Caenorhabditis elegans: one gene and its partners. The protein of the gene in region 4 purifies or fractionates together with the protein of the main gene of each other region. This does not show direct contact. Each region holds a gene or a part of one and is shown on either strand. Other genes may lie near its edges.

Region 1 (7,170 bases), on a different chromosome or scaffold from region 4:
AAAATAATGTTAAATTTCAGAACAAATAAAACACATTAAAAATGTTAAAGGTAAATTGGTTTTTTTTGAGCTTCCAGGCTCTCAGTCTTTGAACCCATAAATGTTATCAAAAAGTTGCATAAAGACCCAGAAATTCTACAAAATAAGATAACAGGGAGTTTGAAATTACAGTACTCTTTAACGGCGCGCACCTTATTATAGTGAGCAAAATTTTGTCGTGTCGAGACCGGGAACCGTACTTTCGTGTTCAATTTTGCAAACTTCGCATCCGGGTAATAGTTTGATTTTGATTCCTCACTCAGATTCATTGAAATACATAAATATAAACATTTTATTAGGTCTCATGTTTCCCCCACTTTCGATAAGATATTGTTGTTTGCGAAAATTCGGTCAATTATCAACAAATTGTTCGATAAGATAAGCATTGACTGCTCTTTAAAACTGCACATTCTGGCCAGTTTTCGTTTATTACGATTTTTGGAACGATTTCTGGAGTTTAAGAATTTTTTTCGATTTGCAATGAATAGAATTTCGAAAGTTGATGTCAAAGTGAACATTTTGACTTTTCTACAGTTCCGGTTCAGCAGTTTTTCCGGCGCCAAAAATAGGTTAAATGCCGCGAAAATTGTCAGTTTTGTCTCACTTTCGAAATTTCGAAACATATTTATCAAGAACGAGGCTGTCATTTTCAGTATTTAAATTTGATTCGATTTCACTATTTTAACTTTACCATTTTTCCTACATGGCGCTCTTTTGGAATTCTTTGAAATTAAAAAAAAAATATTATTTTGAAAAAAATAATTAATGAACAAGTGTTTTCCCTCCAAGACGCAAGAATTATTTTTCTGTGTGCGCCTTTAAAACTTACAGTAAACCAGACGGTCAAATTTCTTCATTTTTATTGAAATTATTCAAAGTTTTCTGATTTCTAGAAATTTCTTTTTTTTTCCTAATTTTCTAATTTGATTTCAGCCCAGAATGAAATTGATTATCGAGGAGAACGCCGATAAAGTCGCCGAATTCGCTGCTCGATATGTCGTTACAAAGATCAATGAAGCGACTGAAAATGGAAAATATCTCGTCTTAGGACTGCCAACCGGCTCAACTCCACTCGGAATGTACAAGAAACTCATCGAATTCTACAATGCCGGAGTTATCTCCTTTGAAAAAGTGAAAACTTTTAATATGGACGAGTATGTCGGTGAGAAAAATTTGATATTTCTTTAATTAGTTGAAATTAATAAATATTTCCAGATCTTCCACGTGACCATACAGAATCGTATCACTCCTTCATGTTTGACAACTTTTTCCGACACATTGACATTAATCCAGCTAATGTAATTTTTTTGATTTTGTTGTTTTTTTTTTTTCGCCAAATGTGGTTCCAAAGTCAATAATTTCAGATTCACATTCTCGACGGAAATACGTCTGATCACGAGAAGGAGTGTGAAGAGTACGAGCGTAAAATCAAAGAATCTGGCGGAATCGATTTATTTGTCGGTGGAATTGGTCCAGATGGCCATATTGCGTTCAATGAGCCCGGAAGTTCGCTGGCAAGCCGTACACGTATCAAGACCCTCAACGAGGATACAATTCAGGTGCGCGCCAGAAAAATTCTCAATGGAGCGCGCCGTGTTGTGTCGATTTACGATTTTTCTTCAGTTTTGTCGGAAAAAATGTTCCATTGACAACAATAATCCGACGAAATTGAACGAAATTTGTTGGAAAACGTCAATCATCTCGTAAATTGACATGTCACAGCGCGCTCCAATGAGAATGTTTCTGACGCGCGTTTGAAAGTCGTCTTAAAATAATTGAATTTTTCGCGCTACATTGACAATTGCCTGCTGGAAAGTCGTGTACTCCACACGGACAAATACATTTAGCGTTGCAACTAAACCCCGGCCTTGGCCGAGTCAAAATGAGCCAGAACCGCGTGTGCACATAGATATTTGGAATCAGGAGTAAAATAATAATTCCAGGCTAACGCTCGTTTCTTCGGTGGAGACATCACAAAAGTGCCAACACAAGCTCTGACAGTCGGCGTCCAGACTGTAATGGATGCTCGTGAAGTGATGATTCTCATCACAGGATCACACAAAGCGCTGGCTCTTCATCAGGCAATCGAATGCGGAATCTCTCACATGTGTACGGTCTCTGCGATGCAGATGCATCGATGTGCAACGTTTATTGCCGACGAAGATGCCACGTTGGAGTTGAAAGTGAAGACGGTCAAATATTTCAAAGGATTAATGAATCATCATCGTTCACTTGTCATGTTTTAATCTGTATTACTTTTTTTCATGTACCCTTCCACTAATTTTCACTGTAACTTTCACTGTAACTTTGAATACTAAATATTGAACATTTTGGTACTCATTATTTGCCCATTATTCTTCCCGAAACATTTCAATAAAATTGAATTTTGAAAAATATTTATTAAACTTTCACAAACAAAACAATTAGAACAAGAATAAATACCAAAAAAAAAATGTTTCACCAATCCTCATCATCCCCCTTATTTCCACGTTGTCCCTTCTTATTTTTCGCCTTCTTCTGTCCTTTTTCTCCTGGTTTGTTGATGAGCAACGTGGCGTGTCCGGTTTCTTGTAAATGAGCAAATAACCTGGTCCGGCTATCGAATACCTCACGGCATTTATCACAAATTGCAGATTTTGGTTCAGTTGACTTCGGTGCTTCTTCCTCTACTGTCGCCGATGGGTTTTGATTTTTATCAGCTGAAAACAAAATTTTTGTTTTTGTTTTAAAGATTTTGCAATTCTACAAAATGTACCTCTTCTCTTCTTTTTCTCTTTCTTAACAACTTCCGGGGTACATTCCTTTTCCTCTTCCTCCGGCTGCTCATTTTCCACGGGCGGCGCTTCCTGAATCTCGGCTTCTACTGCTTCTGTTTCTTCCACATCAAATATTCCATTCCCCTTTTTCCTATCCTTTCTCTTATTCTTCTTTCCTTTCGGTGTTTCGTCGGGTTTCGGTTCTGCTTCGGTGAAAATCGTGGAATCTTCTTCTTTCATATGCTTTTTCAGCTCATTCAGCTGACGGATGTGTTGCTTCGAGTTCTCATGATTCAACTTGGCGTTTCTGAAATTAAGTTTGAAGAATATTATAGAGATGAATATAATCAGACTTTTGAAATTGAGGTGCAAGCGCGCTCCACGGACAAAAGTTGGGTCTCGTTAGGTAGTGGCGGTAAATCCATAATTTTAAACGTTTTCAATATTTTTTCGTATTTTTTGTCTCTCACTTTTCTTCAAGGATTTTCATTTTTTTCTAAAATAATCAAAAAATCAAAAAAATTATTTTTCAGAAAATTGACACACAATTTCAACTTTTTTATAAAGTTTTGTATATTTTGATAAGAAAAATTAGTCTTTTTTCTTTTTTTTTATATCGGAAAATTACATATCGATTTTTTTTTAGTTTTGGTTCATTCCAATTCGAAAAAAAAATTCTCGATGTTTTTTTAAAAATTTTTTCAATATTTCAAAAAATTTGATTTTTAGAAAAATGACCTCAAATTTTTCAATTTTTCTTCTTTTTTTTCATTTTTTAAACGTTTTATTTAGATTTTTCGATTTTAAAAGATCAAAAAAAAATTTTTTAAAGGAGTTCCGATAAATCTATAATTTTCGTTTTTCAATTCTCAATGTTTCGATTATTGTGCATTTTTTAAGCTTTTTTTTAAACAAAAATCGTTTGAAATTAAGGTTTTGCAGCCAATGCCTAACAAGACCCAACTTTGGAGGCGGAGCGATTTAATTTTTCCGTGAAGCGTACTTGCATCTCCATTTCAAAAATGGCATTTTTCTGCGTCTTTATAATATTCTGCTTACACAGTTTTGAACGATTTGCTACAAACAACACAATATGGAAGTTCTTCTCCTTCTTCATCACATTCATCACTACAAGTATCGTAATCCTCGGCCATTTGTAGACTAACTTCAATCAAATGAGCAAGACGGGCTGCCTCGGCTTCTTTGTCGTTCAGATATGAGTTGGCTAGCCTGAAAAATTCAATTTTTTCCTTATTTTTCACAATTTCGGAACTTACTCTTGATTTTTGGCGATCTGCTTTTTTCGATTATCAGCTTGTTTCTTATGTGCTTCCAATTTTTTTTGCTCCAAAATTTCCCTATATGCTTTGACACGTGGATCACGTTTTCGAACAAAAGCGACCAGATTCTGAAAAATTTTGTTAAATTTAAATTTAAAATTAAATATTCCGGACAATCATACCCTAATTTGCTCGTTCCTTTCCTGCTTTCCGACATCCCTAAACTTCTTATTTTCCTGATCGATTTGCCGTGATTCGAATCGATTTGAAGCCTGTGTGATATCATAATGATCCAGCCAGGCAAAAGAGCGAGTTGTCGAAAAAGAGCTCCAAAAACCGTAGAAACCATTCACAGTTTGCTCCAAATCGGTATCCTTGTCGCCAAACTCTGGATAGACTATTGTTGAATCGTTGTACGCATCATATTCCTCAGAAACTAGGATATTGAAGACTTTCCGGTAGACAGTGAAGAAGCCCTGTAATTTATAATTTTGATTTACTTTTTAGATTTCATTCTCACATTTTTATCGTTTTCATATCCTTGATAGCAAGAAGCGGTGAAATAGGGGAACAAATCCGTGGATTGTTCCTCGAAATCCGTATTTTTTCCCTTCAGAATACTTTCTCTATGTCTATCGTAAAATTCGCGTTCTCGTGGATCACTCAAAACGTCGTACGCAGCTTGAAGAAGCCTAAATTGCTGAGTACACTCTTCGATGCGATCCGGATTTTTGTCGGGATGCCATTTGAGCGCTAGTTTTCTGTAGTTCTTTTTGATTTTATCGTCATCAGCGTCGCGTTCAACTTCGAGCACTTCGTAATGGCATTTCATAGCTGAAATATTTAAAATTTACTCTAAATATGATTTTATTTTATAAATTGAAATGAATAGTTCATGCGAAACCATTTAAATAATAATAGAAACAAGAAAAAGAATTAAATGAAAAGAAAAAGTTATCTATCGTCTCTCCTTTCCACACGATGTCTCGCCATCTACATTAGAGCGCAATTGTAAAAAAATAATTTCCTATATTTTTTCCCACGATGTTTTGACGAATTCTGAGAAGCTAATTCACATTTTCCTGTTGTGATTCATATTAAATGTTGTTGAGCTAAATAAGAGCTATCGATTGATATGTCTGCCAAATTTCTTGCAAAAATATAACTGATAAAACTCTCGATAACAAAAGTTCGTTTCGAGTTCAAGCTCGGAAACCGATTTCCAAAATGTTGTTTCATCTTTATTTTCCTGAATTCCATCAAGTTTTCCCTCATTTAACATTAAAAATCTGTGTCTCTGATCACTCGTTGATACCAGTATCACATTAAAATCGTCCTTGACGTCGTCCACGCGGCCAATTTGTCCTTCAACCTCCATATTGTCATTCTTTACTTTTTCCTTGCAGTTTCGAACAATGTCCAGTGGAAAAGTTATCGTATACGGAGGCAAAGGCGCACTTGGATCTGCTATTCTTGAATTCTTCAAGAAAAATGGTTATGTAAGTTTTAAAAGAAATTGAATTAGGATGTTGTAAATTAATTTTCATTAATTTTCAGACTGTTCTAAACATCGACTTGAGTGCCAATGACCAAGCTGACAGTAATATTTTGGTGGACGGAAATAAAAATTGGACAGAACAAGAACAATCCATTCTCGAGCAGTAAGTTGTATTTTTAATTTAAAAAAAAGCTACCGTAACCTCATAAAATATTTGCAGAACTGCTTCATCTCTCCAGGGAAGTCAGGTTGATGGAGTTTTCTGTGTTGCCGGTGGATGGGCTGGAGGCTCCGCTTCTTCAAAAGATTTTGTGAAAAATGCTGATTTAATGATCAAACAATCGGTAACATATATTAATCCTAAACATCTGGTATTATTCTACCGTGAATTTTCAGGTCTGGAGTTCAGCAATTGCAGCCAAATTGGCCACCACTCACCTCAAGCCGGGAGGTCTTCTTCAGCTTACAGGAGCTGCTGCTGCTATGGGACCAACTCCATCAATGATTGGATATGGTATGGCAAAAGCTGCAGTTCATCATCTGACATCTTCATTGGCTGCCAAAGATTCGGGATTGCCTGACAATTCGGCCGTTTTGACAATTATGCCAGTCACTTTGGACACCCCAATGAACAGAAAATGGATGCCAAATGCTGATCATTCAAGGTAAAATTAAATTACTCTTTTTCTTTTGCATAGTTTTCTATGTTTTTTTTTCAGCTGGACTCCACTCTCATTCATCTCTGAACATCTTCTCAAATGGACCACAGAAACATCGAGCCGTCCATCTTCCGGGGCTCTCCTCAAAATAACCACTGAAAATGGAACATCGACTATCACTCCACAATAATTTTACCGACATTTTTCAGCCTTTTTTACATTCCGCTTATTATCTGTTATTTTTCCATGTAGTATGCTATCAATTTCTAAATCATTTGTCCATAAAGCTTGTGATGTTTTTAAGTAAAAATGTTTTATTATCTAGATGCGAAATATTGCAATTTTTCTGCTGAAAATACGGTACCGGTCTCGACGCGACAATTTCTTATGGTTTTTTTTTAGTTCCCTATTTTCTTTAAATTTATAGAAAATTCTACGGCAACAAAATGTTACAAAATTACAGTACTCCCTAAAGGCGCATCCCTTTTCGAAGTTAATCAAAGTTTGTCGTGTTGAGACCGAGTACCGTATTTTCGGGGCAAAAGTAAAAATTTGCTAGAAACTCGCAAAAGATTTTATACAAATTACGTTGAAAATAACTTTACCAAAATATTATGAATTCAGAGAATGGAAAATATACCTTGGAAGGGGCACACCACTTTTGCGATGGGTCCTGAAACGATTTTAATTAAAAATCTACAACATATTGTTCATGCTCCTTTAAATTACCGAAAAATTGTTTTTTTTTTTCGTTTTCTTTTTCAGCGTATTATTACATAATTCTTGTCCCAAATCTTTAGTTTAATTCGTCAATTCTCACCATATTGATATGACAAGAAAACAGAGAAACCCGCAGTTTATTAGTCACTCCCATATCATTTTCTCTCTTCCAATTCTCCTCTATCTGTTTGCAGAGAATAAATCTTCACACTTTTTTC
Region 2 (8,191 bases), on a different chromosome or scaffold from region 4:
TTGAAGTTGGCTGTAATTCCTTGTTCTATTCAATCGCCTACTTTGAATTCCCCAAAACTCGCATCACAATCGGAATCAAAAGTGTGCAGCGCAATCTCAACGAGCTTGACAAGTCAGTGACGAAAATGGCTCCAGCATTACCTCGGAAGGATTTCGTCTAAACTTTTTATTTTTTCTGTAGATTTTAAACCTCGATTTCAACGGGTTCCCCAATCCAGTGTTTGTACATATAGTTTACAATTTTACAATCAGTGAATAAAAACGTGTAATTTGTATTAAAAAATATTTTATATTTTGAGAAGAGAATGAGTTGGAACAACAAAAATAATCTGACGTGGATATATCCAAATAAATGGAAATAAAATGTATTTCCAAAGTTTTCACAATTCGAGGAGGATGTCTAACCTCACTTTCGTCAGAAATAGCTATTGTGAGTTTTGAAAAAAGTTACAAATTATGGAGCCACTACTGCTCGACTTGGAGCCAAAACTCCTGGACTTCAACATCTTAAACCTTGGATTTTCAGATCCTCAAAATGGCCCGTACAGTGATGGATTGAGTGAGCTTGTCCACAATATCTCATACTCTAACAGTTCTGAAAATTGTAGGTGTTGTGACTGGTCAAGTTCAGGAGACAGTTGACGTTTTTATGGCTATTATCCTGGTCATGATTGTCATTTTTCTAGCTGTTCATGTGAGTTTCTGGCTACAAGATTATTGTGTTGTGGAATATGAAAATGCCTGCCTACTTGCCTACGCCTTCGACGCCTGAGCAGGAATTTTTGTTTTTGAGATATTTTGAACTACAATTTATCGTTTTTCTACGTTTTTCATATCCAAAAGTTCTTGTTCCTTTTTTAAACAATTGCAGGCACGTACTGTAGGCACATAGGCTAGCGTTTCTCATGCACACAAAAAAATTTTACCAAAAATCTATCTAATTCTCTCTTTTCCAGCTCTTCATTCGATTCCACTACAAGGCAAAAACCGAGTATGCCCTCAACGAGCTGCGGGAGAAATTCGACAAAAACCCCAATGGTTCATCTGCATTTGCTCTGCCAAAGGATCCGAAAAAGGCAGGTGATTCTGCTCCAAAACCAGTTGAGATTTTGATGGAGCCGGAGCAACTTGCTCCGATGGTTCACTACATTGCAATGGCGCCACCTGGAAAAGCGGAGCAGCCGAACAAGAATGTCTTCTACAATGCGAATCCGTGAAAGCTCAGAAGTGAACTCGATGTCTAGTTTTTATTTTATTTTTTGTTTATTCTAGTGTTTTTCTGTTGTAAACTATGGATGTGTAATAAATGACTTTGGAGGCTGAAAACAGCCATAACCATGAGAAAAGTTGGAATCCTGAAAAATCTAGGGCGGGGGAGACTGCCAATTTCAGAGACGTTTTGACAAATTTAGCGATTTTCTGTTTTTCTTCATGATCTAAAATTTGTCATTTTCCAACTCTTACTAATCTCCGAGTTCGAATCTCGTACAAGATTACAACTACAAGCTTCTACCAGCAACTGAGCTCATGTGGTTCATAGCTTCAGCAACCCGTGAGACGTCGGCCCGTCCAAGACAACTGAAAGAATAGTCTTGCAGCCGACACTTTCCGGGTTCAAATACTAATTTAGAAACCTGTAAATCTTAATTTTTGGAGCGCCTCTAGCAGCCGACATCTTGCTGGTTTCTGAAAAAAAAAACAAGATTTCAAAAGCTGAAATTAGCTTGCAAGCCAAAATTTCAACTTTTGTGCCCACGAGTCTATTCAGATCAAACCATCTTCCCCTCACATTAATGTTCGAAAACTGATCACTGCTGTTTGCCCGTCTGCGTCTCTCCTCTCTCCTCCATTCCACTTGTTTTCTTCTCTATTTCTCCACGTGTTTGTACATAAACGTGATAATAATTATTGTTGGCGCGATTTATTTATTGAATTTAAAAATTAAATTCTTTAAATAAAAACCTTACGAATCAATTTATTTCTCGATTTCATTGCGTTTACGACATTTTATTTGTGAGTTTTTGTTGGCACGTGGCAATTGTTTTATACTTTTCTTTTTTTCAGCAAAATGAGTGCAAGTCTGGCACGTGGAATACTGAGCAAGATGGGCGGCTCATGCTGTCCTCACCATGCCCCAGCTACAAATCCATTCAAACTTGCAAAGCTTCATGGAAATAACAGTTAGTTTTTTACCCGAGCAGGCACGCAGGTAGGCGTGCCTGCCTGAAAACTTTCTAAAAAACCAATATTTTCAGAGTCAACAGATTACGCGTTCGAGATGGTGTGCTCAACTCTTCGTTTCGGAAAAGGAGTCACGTTGGAGGTTTGCTAGCAATATCACACATCACTAACTCAACTGTGAACTTTATCAGATTGGATACGACGTCCGTAATCTCGGAGCAAAGAAAACGTTGCTTATCACTGATAAGAATGTGCAGAATACGATCGCTTTTAAGTGAGTTATAGGAAAGCTTTAAAGCTCTAAAATTATTCAACAGACAAATTTTAGAAACGCCGAGCAAGCCTTAAAAATGGTGAATATCGAGTATGAGGTGTTTGATGATGTGCTCATTGAGCCAACCGTCAACAGTATGCAGAAAGCAATCGCATTTGCCAAATCGAAGCAATTCGATAGTTTCATCGCTGTTGGTGGAGGATCTGTGATCGACACGACGAAGGCTGCAGCTCTATATGCTTCTAATCCAGAAGCGGACTTCCTCGACTTTGTTGGACCACCATTCGGAAAATCCATGCAACCAAAGAACCCAATGCTCCCATTGATCGCTGTGCCAACAACTGCTGGAACTGGATCCGAGACTACCGCGGCTGCAATCATGGATCTTCCAGAGCACAAGTGCAAGACTGGAATCAGACTTCGTTGCATCAAGCCGTACTTGGCAGTTGTGGATCCGTTGAATGTGATGAGTATGCCTCGAAACGTGGCAATCTATTCTGGTTTCGATGTTCTCTGTCACGCGTTGGAAAGCTTCACAGCTTTGCCATTCGATCAAAGATCTCCACGCCCTGAGAATCCAGGAGTTCGTCCACTTTATCAAGGTTCCAACCCGATCAGTGATGTCTGGAGTAAAGAGGCTTTGAGAGTGAGTTGGAATTTCAACCATGAAGCTCTAAATGAATTTATATAATTTCAGATCATTGGAAAATACTTCCGCCGTTCTATCTTCGATCCAACCGACGAAGAAGCTCGTACAGAAATGCTCAAGGCTAGTTCATTTGCTGGGATTGGATTCGGAAACGCTGGGGTTCATCTTTGCCACGGACTCTCCTACCCAATCAGCTCCCAGGCGAAAAGCTGTGTGGCTGATGATTATCCAAAGGAGAAGAACTTGATTCCACATGGACTCTCTGTAATGACAACCGCAGTGGCTGATTTCGAGTTTACAACTGCCGCGTGCCCAGATAGACATTTGATTTCTGCACAGACTCTTGGTGCAGATATTCCGGTATGTAAATTGGCCACCAAGATGGTTCTGAACTAACTAGATATTTCCAGAACAATGCCAGCAATGAGTACATTTCCCGAACTCTTTGTGATCGGCTGAGAGGTTATATGCGAGACTTTGGAGTTCCAAATGGACTGAAAGGAATGGGATTCGAATTTTCTGATATTGGTAGAACACCTCTCTCTAGTTGAACTGCCTTATATTATACTATTTTCAGAAATGCTTACTGAAGCAGCCAGCCACTCCGTCCCAAATATTGCAATCTCTCCAAAGTCTGCGGATCGTGAAATTATCAGCACTCTGTACGAGAAGTCCCTTACGGTTTATTAGTCATTTTTCTTATTGTACTTATTTTATTATTGGTTGTACCATATACGTTATTGTTTCTTATGTTCAATGTAAATGTATTTAGAATAAATAAAGAAACAGAAACAGAAACAAAACAATGGCGCCAGGTGTCACCAGAATAATTAGAATCCTTCACCCCCCCCCCCCGTTTTTCTTCAAGGAACCGTTTAAATATTGCCGGCTTACTGTACTAATTAGGGATGACTAGAGGCGGGGAAGAACGAAGAAACATTACTACGCGACACGCAAACAATCGTAGGAATGTCCTTTGAAGCGCGGCGTGCCGGCATATTTGAATTTTGTTGCTGAAAGCTTTTTGGCCTTGGCTGTTATCAAGGATCTATGTATGTTTTGAGAGAATTGTCGAGAATAGCAGGATTTTGGAGACCAGGTACGGCGATACACTGGGTTCTTTTGGAAATTTGGCATATTTTAAGGTTGAATTTTTTTAGGAATTCGTTGGCAAAATGGTCAATTTTCATATCTCATTATCATTAATGTCATCACGAACTTTTCTAACATTAAACTTAACAAATAATTTTAAAATTTCTATATTTTTGAAAACAAAACTTAGATTTTGAGACTTTGCTAAAAATTTAAAAAAATATTTTTATGGCTTTTAAAATATTTGAAAAATTGATAAGAAGGTTTTTTTCCAATAAATTTTTTACAACTTTTGAAAAATTTGAAAATCTATAACAGATTGGCAATTTTTAATTGTAGGTGTTCTGGCTTGTAAGAAAAACTTTCTCCAGGCTGTCCCATCACGTTTTGATCTACAAAAATGCGGGAATTTTTAACCCAGAAAAATGTGACGTCATCACGCTCTTAGCCATGCAAATCCAGTTCAGAAGTCTACGTCTAAATTCCCGCAATTACGTAGATCAAACCGACATGGGACACACTGACGCCACGTGTTTCTCCAGTTCTAGACAAGTTCCAGATGAAAACTAAGCGGTTTTCCGATTTTCAAGCACAATTTGGAGATTTTAGATAACTTTGCTTTTTGTCTATTATTACAGAAATTGCCGATTTGCTGGAAAAAATTCAATTTCGTCACAAGAAACAAATTTTTTTGCACTGTTTTATAAAAAAAGGGGCCCGTCCACCTGCTTCACATATCTCTGATCTTCTACTAGCGCAAGCTCAACGTCATCAACAGATGCTAATAATGTATGTTGCGCTTATGGTCAAGATTTGAATAAGTGCTCGCTTCACGAGCTTGCAGTTTGACGCAACTCTAGAAGTGGGGGTCTGTGTGACGTCACAACCTCGAAGGGTCAAACAACGTCATATGGTGATTCCGGGTAAATAGTGAAATATATGTTTGGTGGTTGTGGGGAATCTTTATTATTTCACAAATAGAAAAAAGTAATCATCGAAACAGCGAGAATTTTTGTACAATACAAGTAATTTCAATGGTCATCAGAATTGGGTGTAGGAAGCGAATTGAGCAAGAGGGATCTGGAAAAAAGATGAAAGAAGCAAGTGGGAATTCTAGTATAGAAATGATTAATTTTTGGGAGGAGGCTTGGGCAGGATTTGACTAATCACAAACGAAGTCGTGGATGTGACAAGAACCAGGAAGCAGTTGGAATTTCATAGGAAAATCCAACAAAAGGTTCGAGCACATCCGAACTCTCGGAGAGGGGGAGGGAGGTGGAAATAACTTAGAATAAATGTTTTAATATATATATATATTATTTTTTTCAGAATAATAAGAATAATAAACTGGAAGATTTGTTGGGAACACCGGTTTAAAAATTAAAGTTTAGGAAATAATGCAAAAGCTACATAGAAAATGGAAGACTGGATGTGTTTTGAGATTTTTTGGGATTTGGTTTCGAATCGACATAGAAGCTAAACAATGCATAAAATAATGGGTAACAAATGTTCATAAAGTCTTGAAGATCTTCGGCGGCGTCGAGTCCTCCTCAAACCAGTCTGTGCTCCGACGACGCTTCTTCTCTGAGGATGCGGGGCTGGAGACATCAGACGAGAAGCCCGAGTCGTTGAGGGGAGTTGATGGAGTTTGCTCGGAGAGGGGGATCGGCTCGAGGAGCACAAGCTTCTGGAAGGCAGGTTCCTCTGGTGGTGGAGTTGGGAGGGGTTCTTCCTTGAGCTCCTTGAGCTCTTGGAAGGCCTCTGGCTCTTGAGTGGAGGCCGGCGCGGATGGTGTCGGTTCCGTCTTCTCAGCATCTTCTGATGTGTAGATTGGCGTTGTGCTCATGCAACGCTGCACCATCGGGATGTACGAGTCGAGAAGGTTCTGGAAAAGGTTTAGATAAGAAATTATAAGTGCTGATTTTTTTTTCACTAACCACTTCCAACTGGAACATGTTTGCCAAGAGATCCTTGATCTTTACTGCCAGCTCCTTATTCTGTGTTGGGAGATTCGATACGTAGTAGAGGCCAATTGCACATTGCATGGATGGGAATAAGGTGGCAAGTTTGTGCACTGAAAAACCAATATTCATATTATTGATTTTATCATTAAAATTCCAAAATTCCAAAATTTAAGTTCAATCTTTTCTCCCCCCTTGGCCCATTCATCACTGTTCCCTCTGCCAATCATTCGCTCGCTCGCGCCTCAAGGTTTCGATTTCAATCATTAAGAAAAATCGAAGAGGGTGGCTGTGGAGGACATAGATGATTATCTACGAACAAGTCTCTAAGTGTCTGGGCGTCTGAAACATCAGTGGAACTCTCTCTGCCTCAAAGTGCGCGTTTTCACACCTTCATACATATCTTCCAGGGGTCTGACGCGCCAAAAATTTTGAAATTGAAACGGGCTGGCTGCCGAGAGAGAGAGAGAGGTAAAACGCTTATCTTGTGCTAACATAAACTTTGCCTACTGTAGAGGAAGGTCGTCGTGCTATTTTCATGTAATTTCACACTCCTTTTTCAAAACCGACTCTCCAAACCGCTTGTGACATCACACGTTCTTCACAATGCCTTGCGTCAAAAAAATCACCAGAAGCCCATTCAAACATGCGCAATTAGGCTATGCTCCTTTTAAGCCTCGAGCACCTGTTGACAGTATGTGTAGGATCGCGCGGTCATGTTGCATAATTGAATAGACCGCCCGAAATGACAGCTGGTAGACGATGATGATGATGGTGATGATGTAAAGATATTTGAAAATCTGGGAAGCATCTCATCCTCCTCAATGAGGATGGCACACGCTTCCGTAATCCCAATAAAAAAGTAATCGACCGCGAATGAATTTATATATCGGTCAAACGGATGTCCAACGATTGATGACTCCTTCTTCAGCTGCTCCTTTTCAAATTCCACTACGGGGGCACTGTCAATCAATTAGGCCTTGGCTGATGAAACATTCATTATTATACGATGATCTCCATTCAAATTTCAAATTCAAATGTCATCAGTTGCCCCAGAGAGATGACCCTTCCCATACTGTCATAACATTAATGTAGATGATATACATCCCTTGTCATCGGTGGTGTCTTGGAAGAGCAGATTGCGACATAACTTTTCTTTGTGTGTGAGGGCCGCGCAACAACAGGCACAACATCACGGGGGCTCGTCATCGTAAATCAAGAAGCGCAGATTTCACTCCTTTTCACCCCCATACATACATACCTACAAACACACACACACGGTATTCTTTCATAATCTAGCCCAAATCTTCCAAATGTATAAATCAACGGGTAGGCACGCGCCAGGTGGACACAACTTTCCTAATCCGTTTGGATAACTGAACATCCATTAAGGCAGAAGGATATGGGGGGGGGGGGGGGGGGGGCAAACACTGCGAGATGATCGATCAGAGCATTCCATCACGCTATCAAGTTGCCAAAGGCGATGCCGATCGGAAGTTTTGTTCAAATAAACATTGGGCAATAGGTACAAGGGCATTTTGAAAAAGGTATTGCCTACTGTAGAGCCTATTCTTTGAAGTCACTTCAACCGCCGGGATTAAAGCGACATGTGTTTAAGGGGAGTCGCCTTCTAATTGTTTCGGGTGTCAAGTGATCCGCAACAGTTAAACGGTTTCCCTAAGAGCCCACTAATTTCACCCCCCAAGCCATGCCGCCCGGGAGATAGCTATCTATAATTGAACCCGGGCCACCTGGGCTGTCATGTCACTATTTACAGCCATATTCTTCTAATTCAGATATTCACCCAGATGTTCTTAAGAGTAATTGCAAAATTGTACTACCCCACACACACACACGCGCACACACACAGTCATTTTTTAGCGTCTCAGTGTGTCACCACAGAGGAGGACGGCTTGAGAACAAAGAGGACGCACAAAATTTTGTGTACCTGGTACTGACTCACTTACTTTTTGGTATCTTATATCTGTAGTTGGGGGGTGGGAAGCCTTAACAAAGGCGCTAAAACCTAGGTCA
Region 3 (7,919 bases), 1.1 Mb from region 4:
CCGCAGGTGTGTTTTGAGGCGTGACCTAGAAAAAGCAAAAACTCGGCCAGCGAAATTCCTTAAATTAATTTTTACTGTCCTTTGAAAGCTGGAAGCTGATAATGTTTCTTAATGGCCGAGTTTTCTTTTTTTTTTCTAGGCCATGCCGAAAATGTCCCCTTGTGATTTTGCTATTAGTGGTCCTGGCACGATCGAAACTTTTTCGCAATTTTCTAAGAAAATTTCGTTGTTTTAAACATTCTTCTTTTAATTGTAGATCAATATATTTCTCGATTTTGGAGCCAAAAAGTTGTTCCGGTCTCGACACGATCACGTGGTTCCAGGCTGTCCCATTGCTGTTTGATCTACAAAAAATGCGGAAATTTTTTGCCTAAAAAAATGTGACGTAAGCACGTGCAAAATCAGTTGAGAACTCTGCGTCTCTTCTCCCGCATTTTTTGTAGATCTACGTAGATCAAGCCGAAATGAGACACTCTGATACCACGTGTACACGACAATTATCGATTATGCACATACAATTTTTCCCCTATTGTGCGCCTCTAAAGAGTACTGTAGTTTCAAACTTTTGTGGGATTTTTATCGATTTTTTTTTATTTAAAAAACTGAATTCAATTTTTAAAATGTTTGTTAAATAAAAATGGATGCGCGCCTTTAAAGAGTACTGTAATTTCAAACTTTCGTTGCTATGAAATTTGCATCGATTTTTTCGTAGTTTTTATGTTTTGTTTTATTTCTTTTTTTAAATAAATAAATATATTTTTATCGAAAAACTACGAAAAATCTATTTAAAAAATTCCATAGCAGCGAAAGTTCGAAATTACAGTACCCTTTAAAGGCGCTCACCCGTTTATATTTAACAAAAAATTTTAAAATCGAATTCAGTAATTTTTTAATTAAAAAAATCGATTTTTAACGAAACACTATGAGAAATCAAAAAAAATCCCACAAAACTTTGAAGCTACAGTACTCTTTAAAGGCGCACAATAGGGGAAAAATTATTATACACATATGTGCATAATCGCGGCAAGACCCAAGAAAAAAGAAGAAGAAAAAGCCAATTTAGTGAGCACTTGAATGAGTAATAGGGCTCGCTCAAGTCCGATGAGCCGCGGGTACACATAATTGGATGGCCGCTACTTTTTCTTTTCTTTTTTTCTTGAGCTCAACATGCTTAGCTGCACTCATAATTCAGTTAGGGGTCACTTTTTTTTTCGAAAAAAATTCTAAAAAACTTCCAGAGCACACATCTTCGAGAAGGCGATCGTCTACTCCGGTGCAACAAGATCTCACTTCGCGCCGTTTCCGTAGATCAGGCGGCGAGCATCTTCCGATTCTGGATGTCCCGCTCCGATTCGCTGACTCTGTTGATCGAACGAAGATCCGACGGTGAGAGTGTGATGATGCGGCGTCGGCGGCAGGCGAGGCTCTCAATGTGCAATGAGCAGCGGGAGCAGACACGACACGTCGTTTCAGGGCGAGCCACGTTACGGATGACGTCATCAAGGTCGGCAGAGGTATTCCGGTGTGGGGACTCGACGTCGTTCCGCATGAAATCTCCGAAATACGAGTCATTCAACACATCATCGCCCTCAAAATCCATATGTCCCCAGTGCAATTCTCAGACTAGAATGGTAAGTTTTTCTTTTTTTTTTTCATTCCAAAAATTCCAATATTACGGGAACTTAAAAATTCTTAGAATGCGTATTTCGCAACATATTTGACGTGCAAAATATGAAAATATCTCGTAACGAAAACTACAGTAATTCTTTGAATGACTACTGTAGCACTTGTGTCGATTTACGAAAATGATTTTTTGTTTGAAAAACGAAGAAAAATTGAATATCTTTGTCACTATTCGAAATGAAATTCATTTCAATATTCGAGCCCGTAAATCGGCCTACAGTAGTCATTTAAAGAATTACTGTAGTTTTCGCTACGAGATATTTTCATATTTTGCGCGTCAAATATGCTGCGCTGTACGCATTCTCAGAATGTGTGAGTTTCCGTAATACTATAAAGTGCAATTGCGCTCCACGGACAAATCTCCACCCCAAACCGTTGGGTCTCGTTAGGAATTGGCGGGAAAACCGTTTTTGCCAATTTTCCAGCATTTTTCGCTGTTTTCAATGAGTTTTTTTTTGTCAAAATTGAAAAAGTTAATGTCATAATCATTTTTAACCATAATTTCGGCATAAAAACATAAAAAATAACGAAAAATGCTTGAAAACGGGTAAAATCGTCGGAAGTAATCGTTATTTCGACCTAAAACTTATAAAAAATATGAAAAAAAGCTTAAAAATTGGCAAGAATAATGTAAAACATTTGAATTTCCCGTCTTGCCGCCAAATATTTACCTAACGAGACCCATCGTTTAGGGGCGGGGCGCGTAATTTTTCGCGCCCAGATAATAATCCGTAATATTTCCAGATCTACCTACACCAATTCTCCCATGGTTTTGTGAACAATGCATTCCGTTTTTTGATCGTTTCCCGTTCAAGCTATTCACTTTTATGAACAAAAATAATTTTTCATACTTTTTTAAACCTGCATCACATAAAACATTGAATAGAAAAAATAATAAAAATAATTTAAATACAAAATTTTCTGATTCGACTACTACAATAATTCAGCGGCGGAAGAGGTTATCGGGGGCTTAAGCCTTGACGAATCCCTTCTCCTTGAGCTTGGCGACAAGTGCCGAGACATCGTCGACGAATCCTCCGGCCTGGCGAACTGGTGGCTCGGTGACTTCAAGAGTTTCAGTTTGTGGTGTGATATCTACATTCAGATCTTTGATTGGAATGTTCTTCAGTGGCTTCTTCTTGGCCTTCATGATGTTTGGAAGAGTCGCGTAGCGGGGCTCGTTGAGGCGAAGATCGGCGGATAGGACGAATGGCACTTTGACCTGGAAAATAGAAAATTTTTCGAATAAAACTTTAGATCCGTGAATTTTGCAAACAAAATAGCGGCGCGCAGAAATAGGGGCGGGGCGTTATTTTGCAACCTTGCGGCACGGTTTTTCCTCCTTTTTTCGCTTTTTCAATTTTTCATGTTTTAATCTCCTTTTTTTTCGAATAAGAACGTTATTTAATTAACTATCAAAATTTATTAATCGATCCTTGAATTTTGCAAGAAATTTTGTCGCCCAGAAAGTGGGGCGGGGCATAGCTTTTGCAACACTGCCGCACGGGGTTTGCCTCCGCCCCTTTTCTACTGCTTTTAAGCTTTTCTTGTTGATTTTTTCAATAATTTCTTTTTTTTTCGAATGAAAATCCAATTCGAAAAAAAAGAGAAAAATCGAAACTTTATTGAAAAAATCAACAAAAAAAGCAGTGGAAAAGGGGCGGAGACAAACCCCGTGCGGCAGTGTTGCGTAAGCTACGCTCCGCCCCACTTTCTGTGCGACAAATTTTTGCAAAATTTAAGGATCGATTAATAAATTTTGATTTTAAATTAAATAACGTTCTCATTCGAAAAAAGAGATTAAAACATGAAAAATTGAAAAAATCAAACAAAAAACAAGCGGAAAAAGGAAAAACCGTGCCGCAGGGTTGCAATATCAAGCCCCGTCTCGCGTTCTGTGCGGGGCTGCTTTTCACGGCTATCGATCGATATAGTAAGAATCACCTTAATCGTGTCAAGACCTCCATCAATTTCACGGGTGACCTTCATGTGTCCAGCGCCTGCGTCTTCAACCTTCGACGCGTAGAGAGCCTGTGGCCACTCGAGCAGGCCAGCGAGAATCGGAGCAGTTTGCGACGAATCATCATCGATTGCCTGCTTTCCGAGAAAAACCGCGTCGAACTTCTCCTGCTCGACAATCTTCTGAAGCGCCTTCGCCACGTGGAATGACTCGAGCTTGCCAGCTTCGGCGTCGGTCACCTGAACGTGAACTGCCTTGTCGGCGCCCTTCGCCAACGCGGTCCGGAGCACTTCGGCGGATTTTGGTCCGCCGAGCGAGAACGCGACGACTTCGGTGGCGAGCTTCTTCTCCTTGAGCTTGACGGCCTCCTCTAAAGCGATCTCGTCGAATGGATTCATGCTGTGTTGAACTCCTTCGGTGACGACTCCCGAGCGGTCCGGCTTGACACGGATCTGGAAATTTTGGGCTTTTATAGAATCGAAATGTGTCTAAAATCTCCAATTTATCCAAGTTTTCCGTGTCACAGCGGTTGGAAATCAGCTTTTATTGCCAATTTTAATCGATTTTCCGTTGATTGGGGTACACTTTGAGCCAAAAATGACAAAAAACTGATTTCCAACTGCTGCGACACGGAAAAGTTGGTGAAATTCAAGATTTTCGCCGAAATTAAGCTGTTTTTTCGAATTTTTTGCTCTTTTTCCTGAAATCCTACCTTGACAGCATAGTCGACAACTCTCTTGACTCCGACGAGAATCTTCATCGCTTGGCTGGAAGAAAAACTGGGAATAAATTTATTTATTTATTAATAAATGAAGAAATGATCGAAAAAAACAGCGGCGGCGGGGTCAAAGTACACACTTCAGAGTTCAGAATTTGATTTTTAAATTTGAATCAATTAATTAAAGCCGAAATTCGAAATTTTAGCCGAAAAATGTTTAAAATAGCTTTAAAACTGCCACGTTTTTCCTTAAAAACCTTCGAAAATTCCGTTTTTTATAGAAAATTCGTGAAAAATAAGAATAAAAATAATAAAACAAGTGATGAGAGAGATAAGACGATGTGGAGAGAGAGTGTGGGAAGACGAGAGACGCAGAGAATGAAACGCGGGCGGTGATTGTTGTGGCCTACACGTAAGCGACCGATTTGTAGAAAAAATGTTCTGAAAAATAAAAGAATAAATATTTCGAAGAAGACATGAGCTGAACTTCGTAGATCTAGATAGATTAGATAAAACAAAAAAAAAGCAGAAAAATTGTTGCTTCATTATTGAGAGAAATGTTGTATATACAAGAAAAAAAGCAGTATCTTAATTTTAAAAATGAAACCGTCAGCAGAATATTCATATTCACAGAAATTTCTTGAGAAATCTGGAAGATCACATGTTGCGAAGAGCAGCCAGGCGTTCTGTGAGGTCCTTGTCTTCTGAAACAGCTTGCGTCCCGGTCGGCAGAGCAGTTGGCACGTTTGACGGAAGCTCCTGGTTGAGCTCGATGCCTGCCTTGTCGGCGGCCTCTGCAATCAGAGCATCCACCTGTGACTTCGGAGCATTCAACACTGTCGTTCCGTCCATCGTCTTTTCCATCGTCTTTGTGGTCACGTCGAGATCTTCGAAATCTCTTTCGAATCTATCCATCAACTGTTGAACTTTCTCGAGATTCATGCTCTTCATGGCGCTTTCCATGGCTTTCACTACGCCGCTCATGCTGGCGGTTACTCGTTTTTGTGTGGCGGCGGTTTGAACTCGGGCGGCCACTGCGTCGATTCTGGCGGCCATTTTAATGTAGTTCACTGCTTCATTCTTCTTCCTGATCGCATTTTCAGCATGAACCTGTGCGACTTCTTTGTTTCCTTTCTGGAAAAAATCGAATTTAAAAAATAATTGTTTTTTTTTTCATTTTTAATTATTTTTTACCTTAATAGCTGCCGTCAGCTTGTCTTTCTCGACCTTTTCATCCTTCTCGCATCGTTGAGCATTCTTTTCCAACTGTTTCGCTGCGAATTTAAGATCAAATAAGTGTTCTGGAAGATAAAAACATGAAAATAAGTCAAAATCAAGAGAAATCAATTTGAAACTCACTTTCCAAGGCCATACTGCTTTCTCCGGCTCCCATGATGATTTTATGTGTATTAAGCTGGTATTTGAGTTTCTGAAATACGAGAATTACGGTGAGAAAGTGCTTTTATAAGTTAAATTTCGCAAGAAAGCGATAAAAACAAATTCATGAGTCATGTGTGTGTATCTGCGGACTTTACGTCATAAACGACGACACTTGATGTCCGCAAGCAGCGGATCTTACGACAATTTTGGGTTGTAGAAATTTCTGTATTTTAAGTCGGTTTCAGGCTATAAAACACAAAATTATCAACGTCAAAAATATTTCCAGATCCGCTATATGAATTTGAAAAAATTAACATCGTAATTTCACCGATAGATAAAATCGCACAAAAATAAACTACCATAAACTTTTTTGCGTGCCAAGACCAATCTGAATAAATCTGTGCGCCTTTCTTTGAAAATTACTGTAATTATCGACTTTTCGTAGTTTTTTTGTAAAAAAAATTGAATTTATTCATCAATAAACTAACAAAAAACAGTATATGTTTTAACAAATCAAAAGAAATAAAAAAATTGAAGAAAATACCGCAATTTTTAAATTACAGTACTCTTTAAAGGCGCACACCTTCACGCATTTAACAAACAATTGTCGTTTCGAGACCAGGTACCGTATTCTTCTCTCGAATTCTCAGGGTAATAAAACAATTTTATTAACATCTCAAGTCAAAACTATCAAAACTTTATTTCCGAACAAATCAAAGATCACTTCGGCTTCTTCTTGTTGTTTCTCTTCACCGAGAACATTGGCGGCTTCATCGTCTTCATCTCCTCCTCGGTCGAGCGATTGCTCGATAGAATCGATAGAACCACTGGCTTCATCCCAAAAGTTGTCTGAAGATAGCGCAGAACATCCGCCATGCTCACACGATCCGCCGGATTTTCAGCCCAGCAGTGCTTCTGAAAAATGAGAAATTAGTAATTAGCTATAATTTCAGATTCAAACCAACCGTGACATAGTCGCCGAATCTGAAGTCCACAAAGACCGGATCAAACCGCATGCGGTATCCATTACGGACCTTTCCGACGACGTCAGCAACTCTCATGTCTGGGTACGGCTCCTTCCCATTCTCAGTGATCTCCCAAGCCATTATTCCTGAAAAAATGTCTATTTTATTTGAAAATGTTATTGGAAAGACTAACCGAACGCAAACACATCAGTCTTCGGACTATAAATCCCCGCTTTCAACGTCTCCGGAGCCAACCAACGAATCGGAACCTTCTTCGTCAGGTCCATGACATACGAGATTCCCTCACGGGATAACCCAAAATCCGCAATCTTGACCTGACCACCTCCATACAGGCAATTTCTCGCCGCAATGTCTCGATGTAGAAGTTTCTTCTCGTGCATATACGAGATTCCACACGCTGCTTGGTAGATCATCTCCATCTTCTTGTCGGGCACCAAATTCGGATTCTTCTGAAGGTACGAGTCCAGGGCTCCACAATCCGCCAACTCCATGATGACGTACAGCGGCTCCTGGCTTGCACCAACTCCGTAGAATTTAACGACATTTGGATGCTGCAAAAAAATTAAATTTTTGGGCGAAATCGAAATTTAAAAGGAGTTTTCGAGTTTTTCAGAAAAAATAACTCAAAATTTCTTCTATTTTTCAATTTTTCACAAGATTTCAGTGAGAAATCATTGCGTTTTCATGTAACCTGGGTCCCACCACGACTGTAAAATTTTTCTCAGTTACCGTACTCGCGAGTACGCACGCTTCTGGCTTCCCTTGAAATGGAAGAGTTTTTGCCGAACTAGGCCATTTTGGCTCGACCATATCTGGGGTAGATTTACGGCGCGTTGCGTGTCGCGTCGCGGCTCGGTTTTAGTTGTAAAACTAAATGTATTTGTCCGTGTAGAGTACACGACTTTTCCACGCGTTATCCGGCGGGCGATTGTCAATGGAGCGCGAAAAATTCAATGAGGAAGGCTAGAACCCCGTGTAGTTTTACAACTGAAATCGAGCCGCGACGCGACACGCAACGCGCCGTAAATCTACCCTAGACATGGCCGAGCCAAAATGGCCTAGTTCGGCAAAAACTTCCATTTAATTTGATGAGGGAAGCCAGAAATCCGTGCTCGGTCCCGTCACGCCTATGAAATTTTTCTCAGCTACCGTACTCGCGAATACGGGTACTGTAGCTGTGAAAGTTTCAGTC
Region 4 (8,739 bases):
GGTCTCGTTTTTTTAGGATGCCGTTTATTATTTGTTTCAAAGATTTTTTTTTCAATTTTCAATTTTCAATTTTAATTTTAATTTTGATTTTGCAGGTCAACCATGCCCGTCGCAATTGTCACAGGTAATAATGACTCTAAATACTTGAAATTCCATTCCTCTCCCCTCTTTTCCAGGTGCAAGTTCTGGTATTGGACGTGCGGCGGCTCTTCTTCTCGCCCGGAACAACTACAAGCTCTCACTTACCGGACGGAATGTGGCGGCTCTCAATGAGCTCGCCGGGCAAATTGTCAGTGCTGGAAGTGATAAGAATGATGTACTGGTGACCGCTGTTGAGTTGGCTTCAGAAGAAGCTCCGAAGACTATTGTGGATGCGACTGTGCAAAAGTTTGGACGAATTGACACATTGGTGGGGGGTTATTTTTGGAAAGTTATAATAAAATTTAGAACTATTACGGGAACATAAAAATAAATAAAATTCTGAGAATTCGTACTGCACAACATATTTGACGCGCAAAATATCTCGCAGCGAAAACTACAGTAATTCTTTTAATGACTACTGTAGCTCTTGTGTCGATTTACGGGCTTGATTCTCATAATCAAGATAATAAAGCCCGTAAATCGACACAATCGCTACAGTAGTCATTTAAAGAATTACGGTAGTCTTCGCTACGAGATATTATGCGCGTCAAATGTGTTGCATTACGCATTTTCAGGATTTTGTGTTCCCGTTATAAAAAATTTTAGTTCAAAATTCTTTTTGAAAACGTAATAATTGCGAATTTTGTAAAAAAATGCACAGAAAATTATCCAAATGTGAAGTTTTGCGACTACTATTGCGTTACAAATACGGTATCTGGTCTCACCACGACTAATTTTTGCAACTTGTAAAAAGGTGCGCGCCTTTAAAGAGTACTGTATTTTCTTTTGTTTCTGCGGAATTTTCATCGAATTTTATACTTTTCGATAAAAAACTGTTTGAAAAATTAAAATTTATATATAAAAATCGAAGGAAAATTTGAAAAAATTCTGTAGTATATGCGAGTACTGTAGCTCAGTTTTGCACCCAAATTTAATTATTTTTTTTAAAATTAAAATTATTTTTGTCGCATTTCACATTAAGATTCAGAGATCTTAGAATTTTTATTTTTTAAAATTTTTTGAGAAAAAAGTTTGCGCGCTTTTTTAGATACTTTTTTTTTCGAATTTTCCAAATTTCTGCCTAAAGAGTTTTCTCATTTTTATTTTCGAGAAAAATTGCACCAACCTGTAAAAAGAAAATATGGGGATAACGAAAACATTTAAAAAAACTCTCCAACCGATTCTTGAATTATTAAACCCTTAAAATATTCTAAATTTCAGATCAATTCGGCCGGGATTCTGCGTGCCGGACCAGTTCTCGATTCTGGAATTGAAGTCTACGATGAGCTAATGAATGTGAATGTTCGTAGTTTGATCCGCCTGACACGTGCAGCTCTTCCACATATTATTACAACAAAAGGAACTGTTGTCAATGTCAGCAGTATTAATGGACCGTGCCCTGTATGATGTTATTTTTTTGTTGAAAATAATTTTCAAATTCGCAATTTTCAGTTCCCAAATGTAACCTATTACTGTATGTCCAAGTCGGCCGTAGATCAATTCACAAAATGTTTGGCTCTCGAAATGGCTCCGAATGGAGTTCGTGTTAATGCTGTTTGGTGAGTTTTCTCGCGATTTTTGCCAAAAAACTACGGTGCCAGGTCTCGAAGCGATCGATTCTCTTTAAGGAGTACTGTAATTACGATTTTTTCGGTTTTTAGGTTTTTTAAAGAAATATTCGAAAAATAAGAAAACATATACATTTCTTCCAAAAAGAAGAAAAATTGTCAAAATTTCAAGATATTTTGCGAAAAATCGGAAAAATATTTATTTTTGAAATCGAAAATATTTTTGGCTTTTTTTTTTTCGAAAAATCGAAAAATTATCGGAAAATATGAGTAAGAACGAAATCACAAAAAAAAACTAGGAAAATTTCCTGAAAATTCTAACTTTTTGCCGAATTTTCATAGGTTTTCTTGTTTTTGTTCAAATTTTGATGCATTTTTATATTTTTTGAATAAAAACGAATTTTTTAAAAGACAGGAGCTAAACTATGGAAAATTGCTTTAAAAATCTCGCAAAAACTAGGAGTAAGTAACTACAGTACACTACAGTACTCCTTTAAAGGCGCACGCACTTTTGAATTGAAAAAAAAAAGATCGCTTCGAGACCGGTTACCGTATTTTGGTGCAAAAATCGCTAACTTTCTCATTTTTTGTCGAATGAAACGCTAACAACACACGTATTACGGGAACACAAAATTTTGGGAATTCGTCTTACGCAACATATTTGACGCGCAAAATATCAAAACTACAGTAATCCTTTAACTGACTACTGTACTGCTTGTGTCGATTTACGGGCTCGATTTTGGAAATTAATTTATTTTCTTCGTTTCTTCGTATTATTTTCTCATTTTCAATAATCTTTTGATAAATAAAAAAACCCGTAAATCGGCACAAGTGCAACAGTAGTCATTTAAAGAATTACTGTAGTTTTGATATTTTGCGCGTCACATATGATGCGCAATACGCATTCTCAAAATATTGTGTTCCCTTAATAAACCCATATAAATTTGTCATTTCTCCAAAAATTTCAGCCCAGGGGTCACCGTGACCAACCTGCATCGTACATCTGGTCAAGACGAGACAACATATTCTGCGGTATAAAACCTGCTGCACTGACCTTGACAAATAAATATCATCATTTCTTTCAGTTCTTGGAACGTAGTAAAACGACACACGCACTCGGCCGTCCCGGTGATGCCAATGAAGTTGCTGAGGCAATCTATTTCCTCGCCTCTGAGAAAAGTTCATTCACTACTGGAGAACTTCTTCGTGTTGACGGAGGCCGCGGAATCATGCATCCGAGATAAATATTAGCTTTTTTGTCTCATATTGAGATTGTTTTGAACTTTTATCATGTAATAAATAGAGAGATACATGTATTTTTTTTAATTGTGTTTTTATTGAATCCTTTATAGTGGTTTTTTCCTTGCTTAATTTTTTTTTTTTTTGAAAAAAAATCGATTTTTTTTTGATTCAGTTTTGAATTTATTCAGAGTATCCGAAAATGCCAGTCGCCATCATCACCGGAGCAAGTTCGGGAATCGGAAAAGGCACGGCTCTTCTGTTCGCGAAAAAAAAGTACCAACTCTCGCTGACCGGAAGAAATACGGATTCTTTGAAGGAAGTCGCAGCACTATGTATTTCAGAGGGTGCAATTTCGGCTGATGATGTGAGTTTTATATTTTAGGAACTGTGACGGAAAGTACAGTATTACGGGAACACAGAATTCTGAGATTGCGTATTGCGCAACATATTTGACGCGCAAAATATCTCGTAGCGAAAACTACAGTAATCCTTCAAATTACTACTGTAACTCTGGTGTCGTAAATCAACACAAGCGCTACAGTAGTCATTTAAAGAATTACTGTAGTTTTGATATTTTGCGCGTCAATTATGTTGTGCATTACGCATTCTCAGAATTTTGTGTTCTCATGATAGCAGTTATCACAAAAAAATTTCGATTTTTTTTCCTCGTTTGTAATTTTTGGAAACACCGTTTTTTTGTCGAAAAAACAAAAAAAATTATTTTTTTAATTAAAAAAAACCGCCGCCATGGTCTTGACACATACAAAAAAAAATATTAAAACTCATCGAATATCAAGAAGTATACTAAAAATCATTAAAAATTACAAACACTTGCAGGTACTGTAGCTATGAATTTTATTATGTCGTTTCGAGACCAAAAATCGCAAAATTTTGCAAAAAAAGGGGATTGAACGTTTTTAGGTGGAAAAAATAGCGACATCAATTAAAAAATCGATTTTCATTCCAGATTCTGATAACTGCAGTGGAGCTGAGCTCTGATGAGGCGCCCAAAGCAATTGTGGATGCAACTGTACAAAAATTCGGAAGAATTGACTCATTGGTGAGGATATTCAGTTCGAAACAATTTGAAACTATCGAGAGAAAAGTTTTTCGGAAATTTAGAGTTTATCCATTTATTATTTACAAAATTTTCAGAAACGCGTACATAGAGGATCACGGATTTATTCGGTTGGGTCTTGCCACGAAAAATGTTTTTGCGCGGTGAGACCCAACTAGATAATTGCGTGCGCCTTTAAGTTCGTATCCCAGGAACAATTGCGGAACTACAATAGGTTTTTTTTCAATTTTATGAAGTCAATACTATTCAAAATTTAAACTTGAAAAATAAAAAACTTCACTTTTCCAGGATCCATAGTTTTTTTTTCGAGAAATTTCCCATTCTACCCTTAAAATATTCTAAATTTCAGATCAATTCGGCCGGGATTCTGCGTGCCGGACCAGTTCTCGATTCTGGAATTGAAGTCTACGATGAGCTAATGAATGTGAATGTTCGTAGTTTGATCCGCCTGACACGTGCAGCTCTTCCACATATTATTACAACAAAAGGAACTGTTGTCAATGTCAGCAGTATTAATGGACCGTGCCCTGTATGATTTTTCTTTTGGAAATTAAAAAAAAATATATTTCGAATTCGCAATTTTCAGTTCGCTGGGGTCACATATTACTGTATGTCCAAATCGGCCGTAGATCAATTCACAAAATGTTTGGCTCTGGAAATGGCTCCGAATGGAGTTCGTGTTAATGCTGTTTGGTGAGATTTAAATATTTTCATATTAAGAGCCCAAAAATTGAGAATAATTAAAATAAATTTCAGCCCAGGAGTCATTGTAACCAACATTCATCGAGCATCTGGGCAGGATGAAGCTACATATGCGGCAGTAAGTCTATTCTAACGACACGCAAGAAGTAATGGGCGGAGTCGGAAGCGCAACTCCGCCGCACGATTCTATTTTAATTAAAATTTTAACTGTTTTTTTAAAATATTCACAGCAAGATCAAATAATTAAAGTAATTCTAAAGCAAGATTTCGATTATTCAACCTGACAAATTAAGATAAATTGATTGTTTGATTTTTAAAAATGCGGAAAAATAGACGAAAAACAGTGCGGCGGAGTTGCATTTTCAACTCCGCCCATTATTCCTTGCGCGCCCTTTTCTGTGGGTCAAATTCTACACAGCGACATTACGGGAACACGAAATGCTGAGAATGCGTACTGCACATCATATTTGACGCGCAAATTATCTCGTAGCGAAAACTACAGTAGTTCTTTGAATGACTACTGTACTCGGTAGTTTGGCTCCCTTGGCGCGCGACGAGGGTGCGACTGGCGCGCGGACGGGGCGCGACTAGACTACTGTCTCGCGATCTAGTCGCACAATTTTCGCGCGCCGAGCGCATTTCTTTCGCACACACTACGCGCCCGGTTCGATTTTTTTCTCGCTCCCGCCGATTTTCATATTAAAATTGAAATCTTAGATTAATAAGAATTGCGTTTATTACAACAACGAACAATGGAAAAATAAAATTAAAAAATTAACGGATTGAAGACAGCTTGGCTGCAGGTCAATTGAATCCTAGACGGCGAGAGACTGGTGTTGCAAACCAGCTAGAGCTACTATGGCAGCGCCGAATGTGATTTTGGAGAGAAGATTCGAGTCGTTGAGGTAGAAAACACGACGGAGATGTGGATAAACTGCCATCATGGCGAGCTGCTCGAAGATCGGTGAAGAGGATTGACCAATCTGAAATATTAAGACGGTGAAACCGCAGTTGAAGCTTATAAGCTTATAAGCTAGCCTACATTGCCCGTCGAGAACTTGATTGGTTTCGGGAGCTCAAATTGTCTACAGAATTCCTCCGGCGGCACTTCCCAACGCTGGTCAACTTCTTCCCGTTCAACTTTTGTGGCAATCATGACACACGGCGTTTTTGTTCTGTAAATATTGAAATTATTGGGAATTGGATCTTGAAAACCCACCTATAGAAATATTTCTGATAAACTGTGGCGCAGAACGCGAATGAATTCGAGACATCATAGAGGAAAGCGACGACGGCCGCCGACGTCTCGCCGGACCCCAGCGCATCTTGTGGTGAGAGAACATCAACTTCACGCAGAAGCAGGTACTTGCTCTCCTCTTTCACTCGGACACGATTGATAACGAATGGAGAATGACGACGTCCTATTTGTGCTACATCAGCCATTCCACGTCCTGCTAGGGATTGCATGAAGACTGTTTTTCCAGCGTCCTTGGCTCCGACTACCAGGCATTGGAAGACTTTTCGGTCGGTTCCATGGTTTTCTAGATCCTTCTTCCGTTCACGAGTCACTCTGATCGAGTCGAGTGTATTCCCAGCACGACCTGAAATTACAAAAACTGAATAAAATGAATTTTTAATGAAGATCTTTTTTTTCAAAATTTCCACCTGCCTGGAATTATATTTTTATTGAATTGTCATTTTTTCGTGCAAATTCGTGCAGTTTTAGGTCCGCTTCTCCTCCTTTATATAAAATTTAGTGAAAATCTCCAATTTCGCGGACTTTTACGTGCCGAAGTGATCGGAAATCAGTCAAAATTGGACGGACAATAACGGAAAAACGAGGGATAAGCAATCAAAAGCTGAAATAAAATGTATTTTATTTTTTATATTTTAACCGACATCTTTGGTAATAACTGGAACCGGGCATACTGAGAAGAGATTCTGAAGTTCACTCGGAGAAAGACATCCATCGTTGTCTCGATCGCAAATTTTGAAGACTCGAATCAGTGCTTTTCTGGCGCGATCTGTCAGTTGTTTGGTGTCTGCATCGTATAATGGCCTTGTTGGGTAGATCACAGCTTTCTGGGCGTAGTAGAAGATTTCTGAGACGTTTTTCATCGTGCGAGCCGAGCATTCAACGCAAGTTTCGACTTCGGTGTTTGCCTCCATTATGGGGAGAATCTTATCAGTATTATTTGCAGTCCCATCTGATTTGTTGCCTACCAAAATGACCGGAGTCTTATGGTACTCTCCGAAGGACTGGCGAATCAAGGGTAGCCACCTGAAAATTCAAAGTTATTGATTTTTTAACAGATAATTTCAATGAAAACGTACTTTGTTTGAATTCCATCAACAGTGGACTCGTCTGTAACCGAGTAGACGACACAAATGACATTCGCCTGGCGGATTTCCAACACAATCCAATTTTCATCTGAAAATTGATTGAATTATTTGATTTACATGTTTTTGGCAATTTATTTACCTTCTTCCTTAATCGATAAGTCCACGATACTCGTACAATTCCGAAAAGCTTGATTTTAGAGATACTTTTGTTATTGATGGAACAATCGGTGAAAATTTCACGGTCACCATATTTAACTTGAAGAAAAGCCCTGAAACTATACACTTTAGGCATGTTACTGTACAAAACAAAAAGAAAATAATATTTTTACAATGTTGGAAACAATTAAATAAAAATTATCGAAAATGTGCCAAAAAATTATAAACTGCAAGCGTAATAACGGATTGTCGTTCGTGTTGCGCGGACGGGGCGCGGAAGGGGTGCGGAAGGAGTGCGGAATGGGCGCGGATGGGGCGCGGTCAGAACGCGGACGGCGTGCAAAAACAGTTTCTCTTCGCGAACCTGTTACTTTCAGACAGCCTCATTGCCAAAACAGGTTGATATATATATCTTCACTTATATGTTATATATGTATGAATGATGTAGTTGATATATAATAATTGCCAATCTAGTCTCTTTCAGCTTTCAGTAATATGGTGCCACAATACTAAACGTATAAAATACAACAACGAGACATGTGATCCAGAAAATTAGTTTGAAGATGTTCACACAAACTACACATATATATTTTATATATTTCTATTGGAAAATATACCTGGCATTTAGGGGAAACTTTCTTAGGGATGTGTGCATCGTGCCTCCACAATGCCAATGCTGCGAGTTTCCTAATCTCAGATAAACGTGTTAGCTTCTATTTAGAAGGAATAGACCTATTTAGTAGAATCGGAAAACTAATTAGAGCTAAATAGAAGAACTAGTTCTAAATAGATCAGGGTTTGATCTAATTAGAACAGCGTAAAAATGGCAGATCTATTTAGACCTAAATAGAAGAGGGTAGATCTAAATAGAAGAGGACGACACCTAATTAGGTCAGGGATTTCGACCGTTAGTGTGCAAGCATAAAAGCGCGTCAGCAACGAGCGGTTTTGCCCAAAAGTGGATGTTAAATCTGAAAAATTGAAAAAAAAAATTTTTCAAATATTTATGAGATATTGTAGAAATCACTTACTTGGTTGTTTCTATACATTTTCTTGCCAAAATAGGTGTTTTCTATAAGTCAAACCGACATTCCTTGGGGCTCTGAACAACAAAACCTCCTGTCTTAAAACGAATGTATCCAATTCTAGAGGCGAGGTATCAAAAAGCCTTCAACTACAACCATGTTAAGTTCGAAGCAATAAACGTTTTCATAGTTGCAGGCATTGTCCAGAACTGAGATATTGTTGAGCATAGATCTAGCATATTTTGGTTGTCTTGGAGCTCACATCTCCGCAGCCACTAAAGATAACTAGAAAGTACCCACTAACAAAATGTTTTTCATATTGTTGCCAACAACTTTTCAATTGTCTACATTTTATTAATTCAAACACCAACAGAGTTTTAAGTCTTAGAAAGTAAGACGTCTATACGCTCAGTCAACTCTAATTTGGTTAATTGTTTAGCTAAAAATGCAATATGAATTCCCAAACTTGTAAGAACTACCAAAA

Evidence for each region.
Region 1: the proteins of Y47G6A.21 (region 4) and qdpr-1 fractionate together in Caenorhabditis elegans (co-fractionation; one large-scale study listed by BioGRID). This does not show direct contact.
Region 2: the proteins of Y47G6A.21 (region 4) and hphd-1 fractionate together in Caenorhabditis elegans (co-fractionation; one large-scale study listed by BioGRID). This does not show direct contact.
Region 3: the proteins of Y47G6A.21 (region 4) and etfb-1 fractionate together in Caenorhabditis elegans (co-fractionation; one large-scale study listed by BioGRID). This does not show direct contact.

The regions. Positions count from the first base shown.
Region 1 is NC_003281.10:13,388,429-13,395,598, forward strand, and holds qdpr-1 (Dihydropteridine reductase), read left to right. Parts: upstream 1-5,481; 5' UTR 5,482-5,490; coding exon 5,491-5,574; intron 5,575-5,632; coding exon 5,633-5,736; intron 5,737-5,793; coding exon 5,794-5,917; intron 5,918-5,969; coding exon 5,970-6,238; intron 6,239-6,292; coding exon 6,293-6,422; 3' UTR 6,423-6,551; downstream 6,552-7,170. Other genes in the region: T03F6.3 (Glucosamine-6-phosphate deaminase), read left to right, coding at 979-1,201, 1,255-1,337, 1,404-1,598, 1,983-2,285; dnj-17 (DnaJ homolog subfamily C member 21), read right to left, coding at 2,497-2,738, 2,795-3,102, 3,855-4,025, 4,073-4,203, 4,258-4,551, 4,596-4,907.
Region 2 is NC_003280.10:12,990,070-12,998,260, reverse strand, and holds hphd-1 (Hydroxyacid-oxoacid transhydrogenase, mitochondrial), read left to right. Parts: upstream 1-1,916; 5' UTR 1,917-2,013; intron 2,014-2,064; 5' UTR 2,065-2,068; coding exon 2,069-2,180; intron 2,181-2,255; coding exon 2,256-2,323; intron 2,324-2,372; coding exon 2,373-2,455; intron 2,456-2,509; coding exon 2,510-3,101; intron 3,102-3,152; coding exon 3,153-3,464; intron 3,465-3,514; coding exon 3,515-3,632; intron 3,633-3,681; coding exon 3,682-3,794; 3' UTR 3,795-3,899; downstream 3,900-8,191. Other genes in the region: Y38F1A.8 (Serpentine Receptor, class T), read left to right, coding at 1-161; Y38F1A.7 (uncharacterized protein), read left to right, coding at 457-559, 609-694, 957-1,217; cyd-1 (G1/S-specific cyclin-D), read right to left, coding at 5,707-6,081, 6,134-6,270. UniProt on the Caenorhabditis elegans protein: Catalyzes the cofactor-independent reversible oxidation of gamma-hydroxybutyrate (GHB) to succinic semialdehyde (SSA) coupled to reduction of 2-ketoglutarate (2-KG) to D-2-hydroxyglutarate (D-2-HG).
Region 3 is NC_003279.8:2,415,944-2,423,862, forward strand, and holds etfb-1 (Electron transfer flavoprotein subunit beta), read right to left. Parts: upstream 4,411-7,919; 5' UTR 4,404-4,410; coding exon 4,356-4,403; intron 4,096-4,355; coding exon 3,628-4,095; intron 2,906-3,627; coding exon 2,654-2,905; 3' UTR 2,518-2,653; downstream 1-2,517. Other genes in the region: F23C8.13 (PDZ domain-containing protein), read left to right, coding at 1-6, 1,239-1,631, 2,428-2,514; did-2 (Charged multivesicular body protein 1b), read right to left, coding at 5,019-5,495, 5,556-5,662, 5,721-5,754; F23C8.7 (Tyrosine-protein kinase), read right to left, coding at 6,462-6,656, 6,707-6,852, 6,900-7,278.
Region 4 is NC_003279.8:3,554,208-3,562,946, reverse strand, and holds the start of Y47G6A.21 (DeHydrogenases, Short chain), read left to right. Parts: upstream 1-3,139; 5' UTR 3,140-3,150; coding exon 3,151-3,315; intron 3,316-3,918; coding exon 3,919-4,011; intron 4,012-4,378; coding exon 4,379-4,558; intron 4,559-4,615; coding exon 4,616-4,722; intron 4,723-4,785; coding exon 4,786-4,849; intron 4,850-5,544; coding exon of another isoform or gene 5,545-5,714; intron 5,715-5,773; coding exon of another isoform or gene 5,774-5,906; intron 5,907-5,950; coding exon of another isoform or gene 5,951-6,332; intron 6,333-6,400; coding exon of another isoform or gene 6,401-6,590; intron 6,591-6,660; coding exon of another isoform or gene 6,661-7,012; intron 7,013-7,065; coding exon of another isoform or gene 7,066-7,162; intron 7,163-7,213; coding exon of another isoform or gene 7,214-7,366; intron 7,367-8,739. Other genes in the region: Y47G6A.22 (DeHydrogenases, Short chain), read left to right, coding at 103-124, 177-409, 1,363-1,542, 1,594-1,700, 2,678-2,741, 2,795-2,953.